Schizosaccharomyces pombe: one gene and its partners. Changing the gene in region 3 together with the main gene of any one other region gives a genetic interaction. Each region holds a gene or a part of one and is shown on either strand. Other genes may lie near its edges. The genes, in order: kms1, cut12, brr6 and apq12.

The links.
Region 1: of brr6 (region 3) and kms1, a mutation in one rescues a mutant of the other (synthetic rescue), as found in Schizosaccharomyces pombe (one study listed by BioGRID).
Region 2: mutations in brr6 (region 3) and cut12 are lethal when combined (synthetic lethality), as found in Schizosaccharomyces pombe (one study listed by BioGRID).
Region 4: mutations in brr6 (region 3) and apq12 are lethal when combined (synthetic lethality), as found in Schizosaccharomyces pombe (one study listed by BioGRID).

The regions. Positions count from the first base shown.
Region 1 is NC_003424.3:3,461,139-3,465,987, reverse strand, and holds kms1 (protein Kms1), read right to left. Parts: upstream 3,091-4,849; 5' UTR 2,924-3,090; coding exon 2,861-2,923; exon of another isoform or gene 2,730-2,860; coding exon 2,290-2,729; exon of another isoform or gene 2,244-2,289; coding exon 923-2,243; 3' UTR 680-922; downstream 1-679. Other genes in the region: sei1 (seipin), read left to right, coding at 1-446, 544-679. UniProt on the Schizosaccharomyces pombe protein: Has a role in karyogamy, recombination and segregation during meiosis. Although it has been shown to associate with the spindle pole body it is unlikely to be involved in its formation or maintenance.
Region 2 is NC_003423.3:539,331-543,712, reverse strand, and holds cut12 (protein Cut12), read right to left. Parts: upstream 2,558-4,382; 5' UTR 2,431-2,557; coding exon 2,424-2,430; exon of another isoform or gene 2,382-2,423; coding exon 742-2,381; 3' UTR 545-741; downstream 1-544. Other genes in the region: GTP-binding protein Gtp1, read right to left, coding at 1-45, 161-229, 275-292; tail anchored plasma membrane protein Uvi15, read right to left, coding at 3,753-3,798, 4,009-4,190, 4,260-4,295. UniProt on the Schizosaccharomyces pombe protein: Required for bipolar spindle formation. May act as a regulator of the p34cdc2/cyclin B kinase. Required for full activation of the plo1 kinase.
Region 3 is NC_003424.3:2,860,607-2,864,383, reverse strand, and holds brr6 (nuclear envelope protein Brr6/Brl1), read right to left. Parts: upstream 1,969-3,777; 5' UTR 1,711-1,968; coding exon 817-1,710; 3' UTR 539-816; downstream 1-538. Other genes in the region: DNA replication protein Cdc24, read left to right, coding at 1-76, 118-419; protein mug130, read left to right, coding at 2,644-2,966, 3,030-3,432; SPOM_SPAC8F11.04 (U3 snoRNP-associated Cic1/Utp30 family protein), read right to left, coding at 3,680-3,777. UniProt on the Schizosaccharomyces pombe protein: Involved in mRNA and protein export from nucleus.
Region 4 is NC_003423.3:447,053-449,900, reverse strand, and holds apq12 (nuclear membrane organization protein Apq12), read right to left. Parts: upstream 968-2,848; coding exon 620-967; 3' UTR 503-619; downstream 1-502. Other genes in the region: arg12 (argininosuccinate synthase), read left to right, coding at 1-130. UniProt on the Schizosaccharomyces pombe protein: Involved in the regulation of lipid homeostasis in the endoplasmic reticulum, thereby impacting nuclear pore complex biogenesis and localization, and nucleocytoplasmic mRNA transport.

The DNA of each region.
Region 1 (4,849 bases), 600 kb from region 3:
ACTGCAGAGGTCAGATTGGACCATTTCTCAATTGATCCTAGGTTACCTGGCACATCTTTGCTTCAAATCAAAATGCCGCATTCTCCTCGAAATAGTGCTATGGGCAATTTTATGGTTTCTGTCGATTTTCAAGATAGAAATCAAAGATCTCTGAAGCAGGTTAAACGAACAGTCTTGCTTCCTCATAGGTCTCCTATTCACGAATACCTTAAGCTAATTGTATGTTCACCTCTTTACTTCATGGGGATTTTGGAAGAAACAGATATTGTCAATGTCCGTTTGTTCGAATCTGAAACATTTGCTAAAAGTTTTAATTCAATTACAACACTTTCCGTTAGATTTTCTGTCAAAAATACTCCAGCTCAAGCTATTGTCAAAATTTATTCTAAAGATATTGAATTTTACGAAGCGACTCTAGCTTTTGCATCAAAATTGCACGGCATGCGGTAAGTTTTACTTTTTGATTTACCTTCTTCATTTTTTTTACTTTACTCAATTTCTTTACCTGTTATACTTTTTCACAAACTAACTTGTCCTTACTAGCTGGTTCATGTATACGCATAAGGTTTCCGCATTTCTCGTTTTCACATCTTTATTTTGGTTTACGGGGATAACCTCAACGATAATTACCTATCTTATTGTCTCTTCCACATCTGAAACAAAAGCAACAAGACGTTGAATCTTCTCACATCTTCACTTGCATCTAAAATCATAATCGTCACAACCATAAAAATACATTATTATTAAATTAGAAAGTTCCATTATTGCTTTATCCGTTAGACCCATTATTCAGCTGCACCTTTATGTACAAAAAGTTGAAAAAGGGTAAAGCAATTTAAATCAGCACTGATTTTTTTTTTAGAAAAAAAAAATCTTTCGCTAGCATCTTCATTTTCGTCATTATTTATTAGTCGCCTAATTATCAAGAAGGCTGTACCAGTTCATACCGTCCATAAAGGAGTATAATTATATGTTCGCAAAATGTAAATACAACACGCAAAAAAGCTTGCAATAGCTCGGCGCACAATATGTAATCAAGTCCGTAAAAACAGGCAAAAAGAAAAAGGACGTAAAAAAGTCGCAAAATGTTGGATTTCATAACCGATAAAAGAAGCAAAGGTTGTCCTTTCGTTGCTAGAAAATGGGGGTTGTCTGCATTAACAGTATCTTGAGACGCCATAAAATCTTTAGAGGAGTTATTCATTGTTGTATTAGTTGCCATGAGTCCTGTTTCATCGTCACTAAAGCTCGAAAGAACTGTGCATTCGTGGCTTGATTCTTCATATGTTGGCATAGAGGAATCGTACCGACGACAAAAGTCGTTTAGGGTTGGAGACATTTTGGAAAGGCTTTGAATAATCCATTTTTGGATACCAATTTCCTCTGAAAGCATCAAAAATCCAGCAACCAATTCTTTGTTTCGCGAACTTTCAGCAGTAAGAGAGCTTTGCAATGATTGACTTATGTGTTTGCATTCTTCTATCGTTTTCTTTTGTTGTTTACATTTAAATTCCAATTCTCTTAATTCTTCACTTTCCCGCATTCCAACCGCAGGAATAGAAATGCAAACTGATGGTTGAGTGAAAGAAAGGCCAACCTCTTTGGAGTAAACCATTTCGTCAAGGTTAGAGGGTGATAAAAATTCATCTCCTTTTGGGTTATTAGACAAAGCAATTAAATGTTTTTCTCTAGTAAGATCATCTATGTGGTTGTTTAGCTGATTATTAGAATTTTTTAATTCATGGTTCTCTAAAGCAAGCCGACGAATAGTATTCTCATTTTCACTTGACCGAGATGCAGCCAAGCTTAATTCCTCAATTTTCTTAGTCTGATCTGTAAACTTACGCAAGAGAGTGGCATACCGAACTTGCAAGGCTGAAAGCTCTTTTTTTGTGGAGTAGAGGCCAGAGTTTGTCTGTATGAGTTCTGACTGAATTTTCTGAAAGTTTTTGTGAATGTTTAGATTTTGAGCCTTAAGAGTCTTAATTTGGTTATTTTGCGAATTATTGGCTACCTTAGATTCATTATATTTGGAATCTGCCATATTTAGTTGGTGGGTAAGTTCATTCACTTTTCCTTCTAAAATATCTACAGTACGAGATTTCTTTCTAGCTTGATCTCGAGCTTTATCTAACATATCCTGGAGTTCTGTGATTTGCTTGATTAGATCATGGTGCCCGTTGGAAAAATCAGGTTTATCCTTCCTAACAAGTGGCATCTCAGTATTTCTGGACGACGTATTTCTTCTTGTTAGAATTTTAATGACTTTTCTAAAAAAAAAATTCTTACCTATTTAGTGGTGTAGATTGGGCAAATGGAGTTCGAAGAATATTGACAAAATCACTGTCGGTAAATTGAGACATCGGCGGCAAGGACAGTCTCTTAGACATCATTTGAGAAGGGTTTAAGGATTCAGGAGAGGCATTAGAAGATGATTTTGAATGTGCAGAATTGACAGAGTGTTCATTTGCATCCTCTTTGATAGAATTTTTGGAATTCTGTTGCTCCATCGAAGGCTTTTCAGCTTGATTCGCAAAAGAGTCATCTTCGTTTTCAGTAAGTTTTTTATATACGTCTCGAAAATTATCCTTTGTAATAGAGAGATCTGCATTTTGCCGTACGAATTCGAGTGTACATTGTTTTTGGAATTCGCTCAAAAGAGGTGGTGCAGAAGCGGGATGTAAGAGTTGTAGGTCATTGATGATTGGCAAAAAGTTGGAAAGATGAACCTAAGAAAATTTTTTGTTAATAGTTTATCCTATTGGTAATTGGGTAAAGCGAGAAAAACCAGAGTCTTGAGAGTTTGTCTCTGACTCAATAAACAAGATCTACCTGCATAAGCAATCAATTTTTTTCATACTTTTCCTTCATGTTTAAAGTCATATGAATCGAAAATCAAGTCAAAATCGCGTTCATTTAGCATTTTGGAAAGGGAACTGGCAATTATAATTATACAGGAAACGAACCACAATTCTAGTGGGAATGGGATTCAGTTTTGAATTTTTTTGTTAGAATTTATCATAAAGCTGCGTGCATTTCATAACAGTTCACGAATTCACCGCATTTCTTAAGTGTTGTGAGTTGGGTTTCGTGCAAGGTCTATCCAAGGGTTTGGCAGTAGGGCTGTTGAGCAAGTGGTTTGAGAGACCAAAAAGAAGTACACAGAAAAAGACGGATTAAAATAAAACTTGAAAATAGATAAAAAGATGTTAGAAGAAATCATGTTTATGCTTGATTTAAGAGCAGCTAGAAAAGTAAGGCCACAACTTGGTCGTACTGTGCATACTTAAGTGATAATTCAAATGAAATCGCAAATTAAAAAAAAAAAAAAAAAAAATTATTTTTAGTGAAGTAGAAACTATTCGTATTTGTTTTATAGATCGATCGATTCCTCTGAGAACTTCAAGCGAATTTGCAGTAATTTAGAACGCCAGCATTTATAATTGCGGGTCAAACAACGATCGCCCAAGAATCTTTCATAGACTCCAAATAAGATTGGTTGATTACTTAACTTATATTTTGATCCTTGAATCGTTTTAGTCAATCAACGTCGTATATATTGTACTTTTTAAAAAATACAAGGTTTTGATCGTAAAAAAAGAAATGCATAGAAAAGGTCAGATTTTTTCATCCAAGAATGTGCAATAAATACAGAAATTACTTCTTTTTCTTTCAATTTAGCCAACTCTTTCGAAAACGTCTTCTATTTACATTTTCTATATAGCTACTACTCAGTCAAAACAGTTGGTTAGCATGTTACTTTATGAGAAGCGAGCGATGTGACGTCAAAGGTTTTTTGGCGAAATTAACACTGTCCATATGTATATGTGTTTGAGCGTGTAAAACCTGGTTTCTGCCATTTACATATTTTGAAACCTCTGTACGCTAGTTTAGTTATTTCTCGTATCATTTTATTTTTAACTGGTGCAAGAGACAAGAAAATTCATTTACTTTCGTGAAGATTTGAAAAATTCGTTTGTCAGCTTAGAATTCTTTGCTAGCAGCATTATTTGTACATTTTCAATTGGACCTCTCTTAGCTTTCAAATTTTATTAAATCTTCTTTGTTTTCTTTCTCTTTTGTACGAAGTGATCATCGAAAAGATAGAGAACATCGGGGTTTCCATTTATGGGCGATAATGTATTTTTAGAGCCTGATCCATGGGCATCTAGCAGTAATTGGGGTTCACCAGTGAAGCCTTTAAATTATAAAACAGCAATTGGTTAGTAAAAGTTTTGTTCTTCTGTTTTTTCCTTCTCAATTAATAGTTAATTTTACGGATCGATGCATTCTATCATTGATTTGTTTCTTTAGCTTGATTTTTTTTTTTTTCATCTTTCTTGCTTTTTTACTTACTTACTGTAATGATGCTAACCTTTTTCTTTTTCTTTTTTTTGTCTATAGGTAATTCATCCATTCCTTTGCAATATCGAAATTATTGGGACGTGTTTCAAGCAAACAATGTTCTCTTATTTCCAGAAGAAGAAAGTTATTCTGATATATTTCATGTTCCTCAAGATGTAATGAAAGAGTTCTTTACCTTGATTGAATCATCAAGCAATCAACCCTTACGGCAAATTCAGTTTTTCGTTTTGCTTGCCTTGGTTGCCTGTTATCAATTAGGTGTTCCTAGCACATTGGAACAGATTTTCAAGCAAAGAAATGGTAAGGCTTTTTTTTATCTTTGCTTTTTTTTGTCTTTTTGCTTACTTCCTCCTCCTTAGTCCTGCCCATTTTGCAGCGTTTTAATCCGGAACTTTTCAATCGTAGTTCTGATAATGAAACCCCTCTTTTTCCTAATAATTCTCCTCCTGCTTCAACAACCGCCTTGAATCTTTCATCCAACATT
Region 2 (4,382 bases), on a different chromosome or scaffold from region 3:
AGGTTCAAGTAATTGAGCCCTCAGCTTGGCGAGTTTTCCTTTCAACTAAAGGACTAGGTTAGTTTAATTTAGAGTTGATTCTTTATAAGTTGGAACAACATTGTAATATTTGCTATAAAATAAAAGGCATTCCAGTTAGAAATGAATTAAAAAAACTTACCAAACCAAGATGGTACTCCGTCGCCTTATTTTTTTGCGTCCGGCGCATTTCAGCTTCAATCTCTTGAATCTAGCCAATTTAGATTAGTATATAACGGCAGATATTTTTATTTACTTTTTCTAAGACACCCATTTTCCCATTTAATAACCTATCGTAGTGTGGTAATATGAAATTGTTGCTACTTTCAAGTTTTTACTGCGTATGGCCTAAGACAAGATTCAAATGGAGGTTGAGGAGATGGAATTCTTCCAGTCAGCTTACGATCTAAATGTACAGCTGAATGTTTTTCTAGTAAAATACTGCATGAAAAGATGAAATTAAATTACAATATCCACGACTAATACGGCCTTTTACAAGCCTCTTATAATGAATCCATCATTTATACTAAAAATTAGTAATTTGAGTTAATATTAATAATGGACTTATATTTTATTTAATTCTCGAAAGGAATATAGTTAATTTTCAATACTTGATGCACACACCTTTCCTCAACAAAAATAAATGAAACTAAGGCTCCAGTCCTTTACTTAAAAAGGATATGCATTCTAATTATACAATATCGATCTAGTAAAATTATACCTTCAGGAATTCAACTGAAGTTCTTGAAGTTTCAACTTCCTTCGTCTTCTCCTTTCCTCTAATCTTTTCTTTGCATTCGCAGTACGTTGATTTGGACTCTTCAAATCATAATCCACGCGAGAACTAGTTGCAACTTTAACTTGTGGTTTTTCAACATCAGCACTTGTAGTTACGTTCGCTTTTGATTGGTATACTGACGTTGGATTTGTTTTTCCAAGGTTTGAGCTTAAAGAAGATAACACGTTTGGCGTCACTCTTGCTTTTGGCAATTGCTGCAAGGTAGTAGCAGAAGATAAGCTACCACCATCTTGTGGGAAACTAAGTTTCGACGGTAAGTGGGACTTCTTTGCTGCTATTGAAAATGGAGCAGGTGTAGGAGTTTGATTAGACTGCATTAAATTCATACGTACTTTGGAAGCTGCGGAAATAGGAGTTGATGAAATTATTCCTTCAGAAGGTATTAGGTTTGTCGTATGGGACTTTTTTGATGAATGAGTCAGCATTTGAGCTGCCAAATGCGACATATCTGCTCCCCGATGTAAATTCTTGGAAGGAACCTGTTCTTGAGGCTCACGCACATCAGATTGGGATGGCCTAGAAACAACTTTAGTAGTAATCGGACTTGGCTTAGCAGTATAAAGCTCCCTCATTTGGCTAAATCTATTTCCAACGAATTCCTTGCCTTTGTATTTTGACTGTTGTCCTTGATGATTATGGATTTTCTCCGTTTCTAAAGCTCGACAACGTTGTTTCCAAAAATTGATTTCCTCTTGTTTCTCTAAAATTAAGGATTCCAAACGCTCACGGATAGAGGTTAATTCTAACTCAAGATCCGAATGAGCAGAATCTAGCATACTAAACTTTTGCTTCCAGTATTTTCCTGAAGAGGAACGAGGCGCATCAAGGTTTATCGTATAGTCAGGTTCATCCAAGCTCTCAGAGGGAAAAGCTTGGGATGTGTCAATCATAACGTCTTTAATAATTTCCTTCATTTTTCGATTATTGTTCACAACATCTCGAAAGCAATCCTTCATTAAACTTGACCAGTCATTATTATTGTTACTATCCCATTTGAATTTAGAGATCTCGGCATCCATCGAGTGAGGATATTTTTTCTTTGAAGGGACATCTTCGCCTAATCTCTGATTGCTTTTTGTCTCATTTTTATAGGATTCATTGATATTAATATTATAGCGATTATCAAACTCGTCATGCTTACTTTTGTTTTCATTATCCGGATTATTAATATTCGGTTTTGGAGTACTCTGTAACAAAGGGGATTTGAATTCTTCATGACCCATTAAAGGATTCTCATCATCTAATCTCGTAAATAAGAAATTATTTTTCGTTGGACGATTCCACGTCGCAGCATCTTTTGAAATATCTTTGAAATTGACGGTCTTCTTTATTTGTAAAGTACCTGGAGTTTTCAAAATCCCATTTTGTGCTGCTTTACTTTTTAACGGAGTTAATGTCTCAGTTGGGCGCAGGTCTTCTTTTGCGTCTTGCGGAAGTTCTGCATCAGATTCTGCATCCTCAATGTAAGAGGACATTTTTGTAACAGGCTTCGTCACAGTTCCTGCTAATTTACTAGAAAATGCTTTCAAAACCCATGCATATGTTGGCGGAGTGTTCAAAGTTTCTAAATTTTGAGATTAGCTTTGTTTACATAGGAATTCCTTACCTGACATTCTATCGGATCTCTGAATTGTTCTGCATGTAAAAATATAATTAAAAATATAAATAATTTAAACGAATTTAACAAAATTATGTCCAAACAACCCAACTTTAACAATATTTCCCAATTCGGTGGTTTTCAACGTATGGCACAAACACAACAAACTAATAAAGAACCCGATCGCATGTTACATTGGACGTCCTCTCAGTACACTATTTTACACACTGCGTATCGTCATATTTCTTTTAATATGTGAACTCGTTATTGTATGTTAATAAACTTTGTGATATCGTGAACGGTCTTTTCGCTATATGGAGGAGGTAATTGAATAGGAAGTAGAGTATAGCTGCAATGAAATACATTTACTACTACGATTATAAATAATACTTATAGATGGGTAATTGATAAAGGATATTGAGTATTTGTAGATATAGCGCTCATTGCAATAAAAGTCATATGGCAATTTTTGTCTTAACGAGCTTGCGCATCCAAATTCATAGCATTTGAATCAAGGGGGGTCGCAATGGTTGAGCTTCATTTTCGTGAACAAGTTTGTCGTATTTCCACCATAGAAAAAGCACGCATCTATCTACCTGTTTGAAATAGTCAAAGCAAATCTTAGAAACTTTAAACTTTTTACGTAAGATATATGCCTCAATTTACTTTTAAAATCTTTTTAAAAAACAAATAAGGAATTCTTATACGTATCGATCAAAAACCGACTCTATCAAACTTAAACATATTGGGAAATCTAAAGAGTTCATCTACACTAAAAGAAAACAACAGCATACTAAACAGAATACACAACATATAACGAGCAGCAAAAAAGTAGACAAACCATAGAAAGGTTAGCTAAAAACGAAACACACATATTGCCCCTTCAGGGTAAGCAAGATAAATAAACATGCGAATTTTTTCAGGACGAGTCATTTCAACTAATCCAAACTAAAAATTATTCATAAAGAACGATTTAGACCAATGGATGCTGTAAAAGATTTTGCGCTTAAAAAATAGAAAAGACAGTCCATCATAAAACTAAAGGTTTTAATTTCGAAGAAAAGAAGCTGAAATTAAACGGTTGGGTAATAGCAATTTTCAAAAAGTGAGACGACACTCTGTACAGAAAAATCAAGATCTATAATTATTCGACCAACGCTTTACCAATGTAAATAAATAAATCCTCGCCATAAAGTTGTTTGCTGGCGAGGGAATTAATGAAAAAATAACCAACAATCATTAATTGCACTCAAGTCAGAAAATAAACACGGCTTTTAGTTTAATCAGTGGTGCATGCTCTCTTTCGAGAAAAGTAGAAAGAACAAGCCAAATAGTTTTTTAAAACATTGCATCCAAACAGCAACAGCAAGCAAGACCGGTCAATCTAAAAACAGTCGTTAGTAAAGAGAAAAAGGTAAAGCAAAACACAGTTCAACAGGGAACTATTCGAAAGGAACGCCAAAGCAACTTTAATCGACTGACGTAATGACCTAATTCAATAAAGAATACCCCATTCACCTTTCAAAATTAAGAGTGTGCTTCACCGTTCCAATGCAATTTCGACGTCTTCTACGCGCCCATTCTTTATACTTACAGACCACAGCAAAGATCGCCACCAGGATCACTGGCCTGAGGTTGCTGAACATACATAGGTTGCTGAGCAGGATATCCACCTTGAGGATAGCCTTGTGGAGGAGCATAACCTTGTTGAGGATAATTTTGTTGAGGAGGATAATAGTTTGGGCCTCCATAAGCTTGTTGAGGAGGAGCAGGGGCCTAAAATTGAAGCTGTTAGTAAAATCCTGAATAAATTGTTGCAACTGAGCTGCATAACAAATTCCATACATAGCCCTTATCACCATAAAACTGTTGAGCAGACATTTGACACCTTAAATAATTGGGTACAAAAACAAAACCAGTTGATGGTAGTTGGCAAGTTGTGAATCGGGCGCAGGCTTCTATGTGCGC
Region 3 (3,777 bases):
TCCAACCTTTTTTCAGGTGTTTCTGGGCATTTAAAAATTCAACCGTTAACTTTGGTGATCACCGGATTTGTAGCGAGTAAGGGTTGCTTGTTTTACGAAATACTAATTGAATGATAGATTTAACCCGCCAATCTGATTTAAATACCAGTTTGGTCTTGCCGGAAGTAAATCCATTAACAGCAAAAATGGAGGTAATTGACTGTTTAAGGAATAGTTTTTGGGCAGCTTTACGACCGAATTGTGTTTCATATTTTGCGTCTATGATTTCCGGCTTTAAAGAATTATTCCAAAAAGAAATGGAATTTCCAATATACCTGGATTTGAAGTCGTACAAGCTCGGATTCCATTGGTGTGATATTTATGTGGACTCAGAACACAACTGCCATATACAAAAAATAAACTCTCTGCCGTGTGAATAGCCATCGCCATTATCTGAATAATTATGTCTAACAAATAAAAATCAAACATTGAATGTTTGAATGAAAAGATGTACAGTTCATTCAATCATTCTCCGTTTTAAAAGCTTAGTTTGCTTAATTTACTAATATACTACAGTTTAAAAGGCTTATAAATAATGCATTTTTCCAAAAAAGAAATTCAAAGTTAGAATATTAATTGGCTCACCCTTGTGAGAAACAAAGCAATACGATACAATGAACAGCTAAATTAACAAAATTATAAAAGAAAATGAATCCGAATAACGAAATTTGTATGCCAAATTAGAAAGCATACCAATAACGTTCAAAGTAATGATATAAATGAAAGTGATGAAAAATGATTTTAAGAAAAATGAGGTTAGTAGAAAAATGAAGACGTTCAAATTTCTTCCTCCTGAGAGGCAGCTTCGATAAGGTTTCTATTGGAAATATCAGAAAGATTGGAAGGAAGGAATCTACTGGACGGTATCATCGCCGGGATAGCGTTGGCAGCATAATCGTGGATATTTTGAGAATGTCTAGCTCTATAAAGACCAAAGGCGTAATTGGATGTTAGTAGACTTCCAAATACAAGAATGAGGGAAAAAACCATAGTTTTATAAGAAATATGACTTATAAAAGCGTCTATAATCTCAGCAAAAACTAACGCTGCCAACTTTGTAGAACCGACATTATTAGAACTTTCCATTTTACATTGTTTCAGTTTTTGACAAACTTCAAAAATAGCAGGTCCTGGAGAGTCACAGTTAATAGAAAGATATTCCCGTTGACAGTCAGCAGCTTGTTCTTCTTGCAGTATTTTATGATACTCAACACGATTTCGGACATCGTTTTGAATGCCAAAGACAATTTTAAACAAAAAATAAAGAAAGATTGAAGCAACGCACGCATTAAACATCAGTTGCAAATAACCACTAACAACGATAGGTATATCTCGATGAACATTTGTCCAATCTGAAACATACACAGAATCTTGATTGTTGGCTTTTATGATCGCGTTCGAAGAATTGGACCTCTTAGTCAACGCTCGAGTACGAGAAGAAACCTGATTTGAAGAAGAGTTGGGCTTTGATTTTCGCAATTTACGCCTGACAGTCGACTTTTTGAGATTTTTTTCGTCAGGAGACATTGAAATATCCATTGGCTCTGGATCATTCTCATTCTGGGTTTTTTTTTTACTTTTCAAAATTTCATATTTCGGTCGAATTGGCGTATTTAAGACGGAATCAGGCCCAATATCCGGCATCGGTACATCTTCAACGTACATTTCCATATTTTTCTATTTTAAATAACTTTTTAAAAAAAATGCAAATATGAATGAGTGTTGGAAATCAATACTAGGGAATTGACTGGTGATTTCTCAAACCATGAGTAGATTGAAAAAAGAACGCAATAATTGATTATCAAGAAGCAAAAAACAAATTTAAACTCTCAAAACTTTTTCTTATTATTAATAAGAAGTGCAATTCGTAAAAAACCACTGCTTTCGCCAAGTATATTCTTGAGGTGCCTTAACTGCTTGGTAAATGGTAATTATTACTGTGAATGGTATATTTACAAATGCTTGTTCAAGCTAAATTGAGATTATATTGTTAATATACACGAGTCCTTATCCTTACACTTCAATTTAGAAAATTTATGTATAGATGTTTAAGTACTATGGTTTTATAAACAATTATGTTTTGAATGTTAAATAAAAACCTGCAACTATATTTCATTAGCATGACGCTTCAATTCGTATTTTAAAGCTGTAATATGTTAAATTATGCTATTTTATATACCTTTTTTTTCTATCAAAAAAACAATTAATATCTGAGATTTTGAATATATTTTATTTTCGTTTGTATTAAAAATATATGTAAAAAGCGAACCCGCCCAATATTTATATTGTAAACTAAATTAGGCTCTTAATAATTAGTGTAGAATAATTACCTTTTAAATGTTGCTTTTAGTGTTTTCAAATACTTACTCTATATAAATCGAAAAATGAAAGAATTGGAATTTCGTAATTGCTAATTATTATAACAAACGGAATATGTAGAATGTTTTAAAATTCTATTCTGGTTTACCATTTGTTTACTGATACATATTTATTACAGTAGTTTCAAATGTAAATAAAACGTTTGTTTACCATACAACAGATGTCATCAATACCACTATTGAACGACTAAGCCAAACTTAGAAATTCCCAAAACAAAGGATTGCAATGATTTGCAAATATATATATTTAGCCATATTCGTATTTGGAACAGCAAGGATCCCAAAACCTAGCGCTTGTTTACCTGGGGATTTTTGGAAGACAAAACAGGAAATTGAGGTACAAAAGAAAATAGATGAATTTAACCAGTACAGGATATCTGCCCTGTGGTCTATGGTTTCAAAGATGGAAGATCCGACACTTAGTGGACTGGATGGCAGATACATAGTTGTAGATCAAAATCAATTATATTTATCACCTATTTCAAAAAAGTCTGAAAAGCTGATCTTTCGGTTTAATTTAAATCATAGAGGATATCTCGAGGTGAAAAGGTAAGCATTACCAAACTAGCAAAAACACTTCAATAAAGCAGGCACTAATCCTTCATACAAAAGCGGATTTAGAGCTTTTATCGAAAATAAATATTCTCCACTGGTTTTTCATGCTACTAGTTGGACAAATGGATTTTCCATTGATGTACAAAAAACAAATCCCATATCCTCGTATACTCCATTTGTCATGCAATATCTCAATTCACCCTGGTTTTCTGCTTGTAGAGTTGAGTCGGGAAATTGGCAAGTATTTGTAGGAAGGATGAATATGAATGAGCATGAGCACTGCTACCCAATGTCACTAATTATGAAGCGAGAAGATACTTGGCTCAGATATTATCACAAAAACAATAGAAATCCGATAGACTGGAAATTAGTCCAAGATTGTGCAATGTGGCCCGATGGATATCCTGGAACAGGTAGGGAATCAGAAAAGGGCTCCAACCTTGAAGCAATTACCCGTTGATATAATAATAACCCTACAAAAAGATGTTCGTGCTTACGCCATAAGTATTTTGTCTGTTCAAAATTACTCTTACCTTACGAATTATCAGACGACTGCTTGTTCAACCTACAGTCGCTCATTTATTTCCTATAATAGTTGAATTTTCAAATAATATTTTGAGACCCAAATAAATCAATTAGCCGTAGAATAACAGTATATCTGAAATTATATATACACATACAAAAAACCCATTCATGCTCCCGAAATTTTAGTGCTTTACCTTATTCTTTCCTGCCTTTACCTTTTTGATAGCAGTAGTTCCATTTGCTTTTAAAGAGGACTGAGAAACTTTAGGACTGGCTTTTG
Region 4 (2,848 bases), on a different chromosome or scaffold from region 3:
TCATCTTTATGACGAGAAATTGTCATCTATGGATGAGCTTGGTGGATTTGACCCTACATGGACCTCTGGTTTCATCCAAATCGAGTCTATGCGTTTGCGTAACTCTGATGAAGGAAAACATTGGATGTAAATGCCAGGTCGTTCTCAATAATAATGTCATACTCACCATGTACTTGAGCCAAGCAATAATCAAATTTCTGCTGTGCAAATAAGAAGTATTATTTGAGATGGCTTCCTTTTCATATTCACATTTCATAGAATTACTCCGTTCATATCACTGATAAGTCAATTGAATATTTTTGTTGCAAAAAAAAAATAAATTCTGAAAACTGTAACTAATTGAAATTGAAGTTTTATATTGCAAACGCAAATTGTTAAGATGTTTAATGTACTCAATACTATGCTTTTAATTTAAAAAATATTTTACAGGCCTTTAGCCATTCTTCGTATACAGTCCTAAAATCAAGAATAATGTCGAAACCATCTTGAATGATAAATGAAATGAGGAACAAAAAAGATGAAAAATATATTACTAAAATAAAATTTTTTAAAGCATATCCATAACACTTTGTACTCGGTAATCTGAAAAAACAAAGAAGATAACGCTGCTAGTCAATGTTCAAAAAGATCCGTTATTGATAAACCAGTAAGCAAAGAGACAACCGATTAGTAAGAAAAAAGAAATTACAGCAAGTGTTTTGAAGAGGGCAAGGGCAATACTGGTAGTCTTATTTACAATGACCAAAGAGAAGTATAACACTATAATCAAAGTCAAGATATTAATAGCTGAGGGCAAGCTCAATCCTAGATTTCCATTGAACAATGATTTTAGGAAAGACGTTTCATATTTTTCGAAACTTTTGCCTACATTTTCAACGGTTTGAAAGACTTGATCAGGATTGGTATTTAATCCATGGTCCACAGCAAGTTTGGCGACGAAATTCCATAAAACGGATGTCAAAGACATTTTCTAAAAAGTTAAAATATGAACGGGGAGTAATAGAGATGGGAGTAGTTAGGTGTGCTTTTTGACTGAATGTTGACGTTGTAGGCGAATTTTACCAACGATTACATTTGCTAATAAAATATGTTAAAATAAAAATTGGAAGATGAGTTGAAATAAACGGTTCTATAAACAAAACTCATTTAAAGAAAGAACTGGCAAACAGATTATGTCAACATATCTCATCTAATATCGAGACTACTGATAAAAAAATCTAATTTGCTAATGACTACAAGCTTTTATTGTTTACTCTTTGTTGCTTACAGTTCTAGTCAAAGGAGGTATTTTATTTTCGTATTTCGCTGTACATAGCATAATTTCATGAAATGCTTTTCTCTATAAATATGCTTTTATAAAGAACTAGTTAATAAAAAATTGCTTATTTCTAAGCTCTTTTAGGATTAGTAATATATAAAAAGGAAGATAAGTATTTTTATCCCTTTTTAACTGGATTGTTATTACTATAAAAGAAAGACTCTTACGGTTGATAATAAAAGCGTAGAGATCAGAAGATAAAAGTAGAATTCACCGCCTATATTTCCTTTGGAATAAATATCCAACAGTATACTTACTATTATAGAGAGAAAATTAATTTCCCTTTGCCCTTTATCATATAAAATGGTTCTTTTTATGCTGAGTGCCTAGCATAATTCCTTCCTTTTCGAAATATCAAAAGGCTTGTGAGACTTCAATTGGTAAATGCTTTAAAGTGAGTTATTACTAGCTCGCTTCAACCACTTCAGCTTGATTCTCCAATAACCGAGTTTTCAAAAGTACTCATTCTTGCAATTGCTATAAAATTTTTATCTTTATTTATACCATTACCATTGTAATATTGTTATAAGGCATCGCTTTACTTACTGAACATAAAAAAAATCTTCATCATAAAATTAATTAAATGTCAGAATAGAAAAAAGTGTTTAGAGGGTCCAACCGTACAAACAAACAACTTTTACGTTTTTAACATTTTCATTTCTTCAATAACCCCACAGTTGTTTTAAGCTATTACTTAAGCGAGGGCTGCACATGACAATGTGGCTAGTATACCCTTTATATACATTTTGAATATGCATATGAAACCCATTATATTAACGCTGGAATAGCGGGAATGCTTGTTTATTATATTAATTTATTCTATTGGAATGAATAAATCTTTTTTCTGGACATTTAAGAACGGCATGAAACAAGTAGCTCTAATAAATTAAATTGTTGGATCTTACTAAAGACTAAATATTAATAATAATTTTCTCCCAAGCTATTTATATACATATTAGAAGCAATTTGCAAAGATAGCAGACTAATACTCTTCAATGCCCAACTTCTTATTAGTGATATACATGTAAAAATATCTTTATTATGCAATATTATGTAGCAGCTCGTACAATGTTTGCACATCTTTACACAATAGTATTCATTTTGTATTACATTATCATTTATAATTCCATTTCACAGAGAGTAGGCATTGCTATTATATAATATAAATTTATATAAAACAAAAAGACTGCAAAATCATTTCCAACTGAAACTTCGTTCTTTAGTTCTATTAAATTATTAAGTATTGGAATATCAGATTTTTGTAAGTTCAGTAATAATAATATCATTATATTACACCGTTGTATTATTAATCGCATAATATTACTGTAACACTTTGTCCGTAATTTGCATCGTTATTTCAGTTAACAATTGTGGGTCCAAAATCTTAAAGTCTAATAGCGAACTACACCAGGTTTGCAACTTCATTCATTTTTTTTAATTCCAATGTAGTCGTGCCGAAATCAGACTTTGGTTTGGTGGTAGCCGGGGTGCTTAGTGTTAGCAGATATCCGGATTGATTGTATATAAATA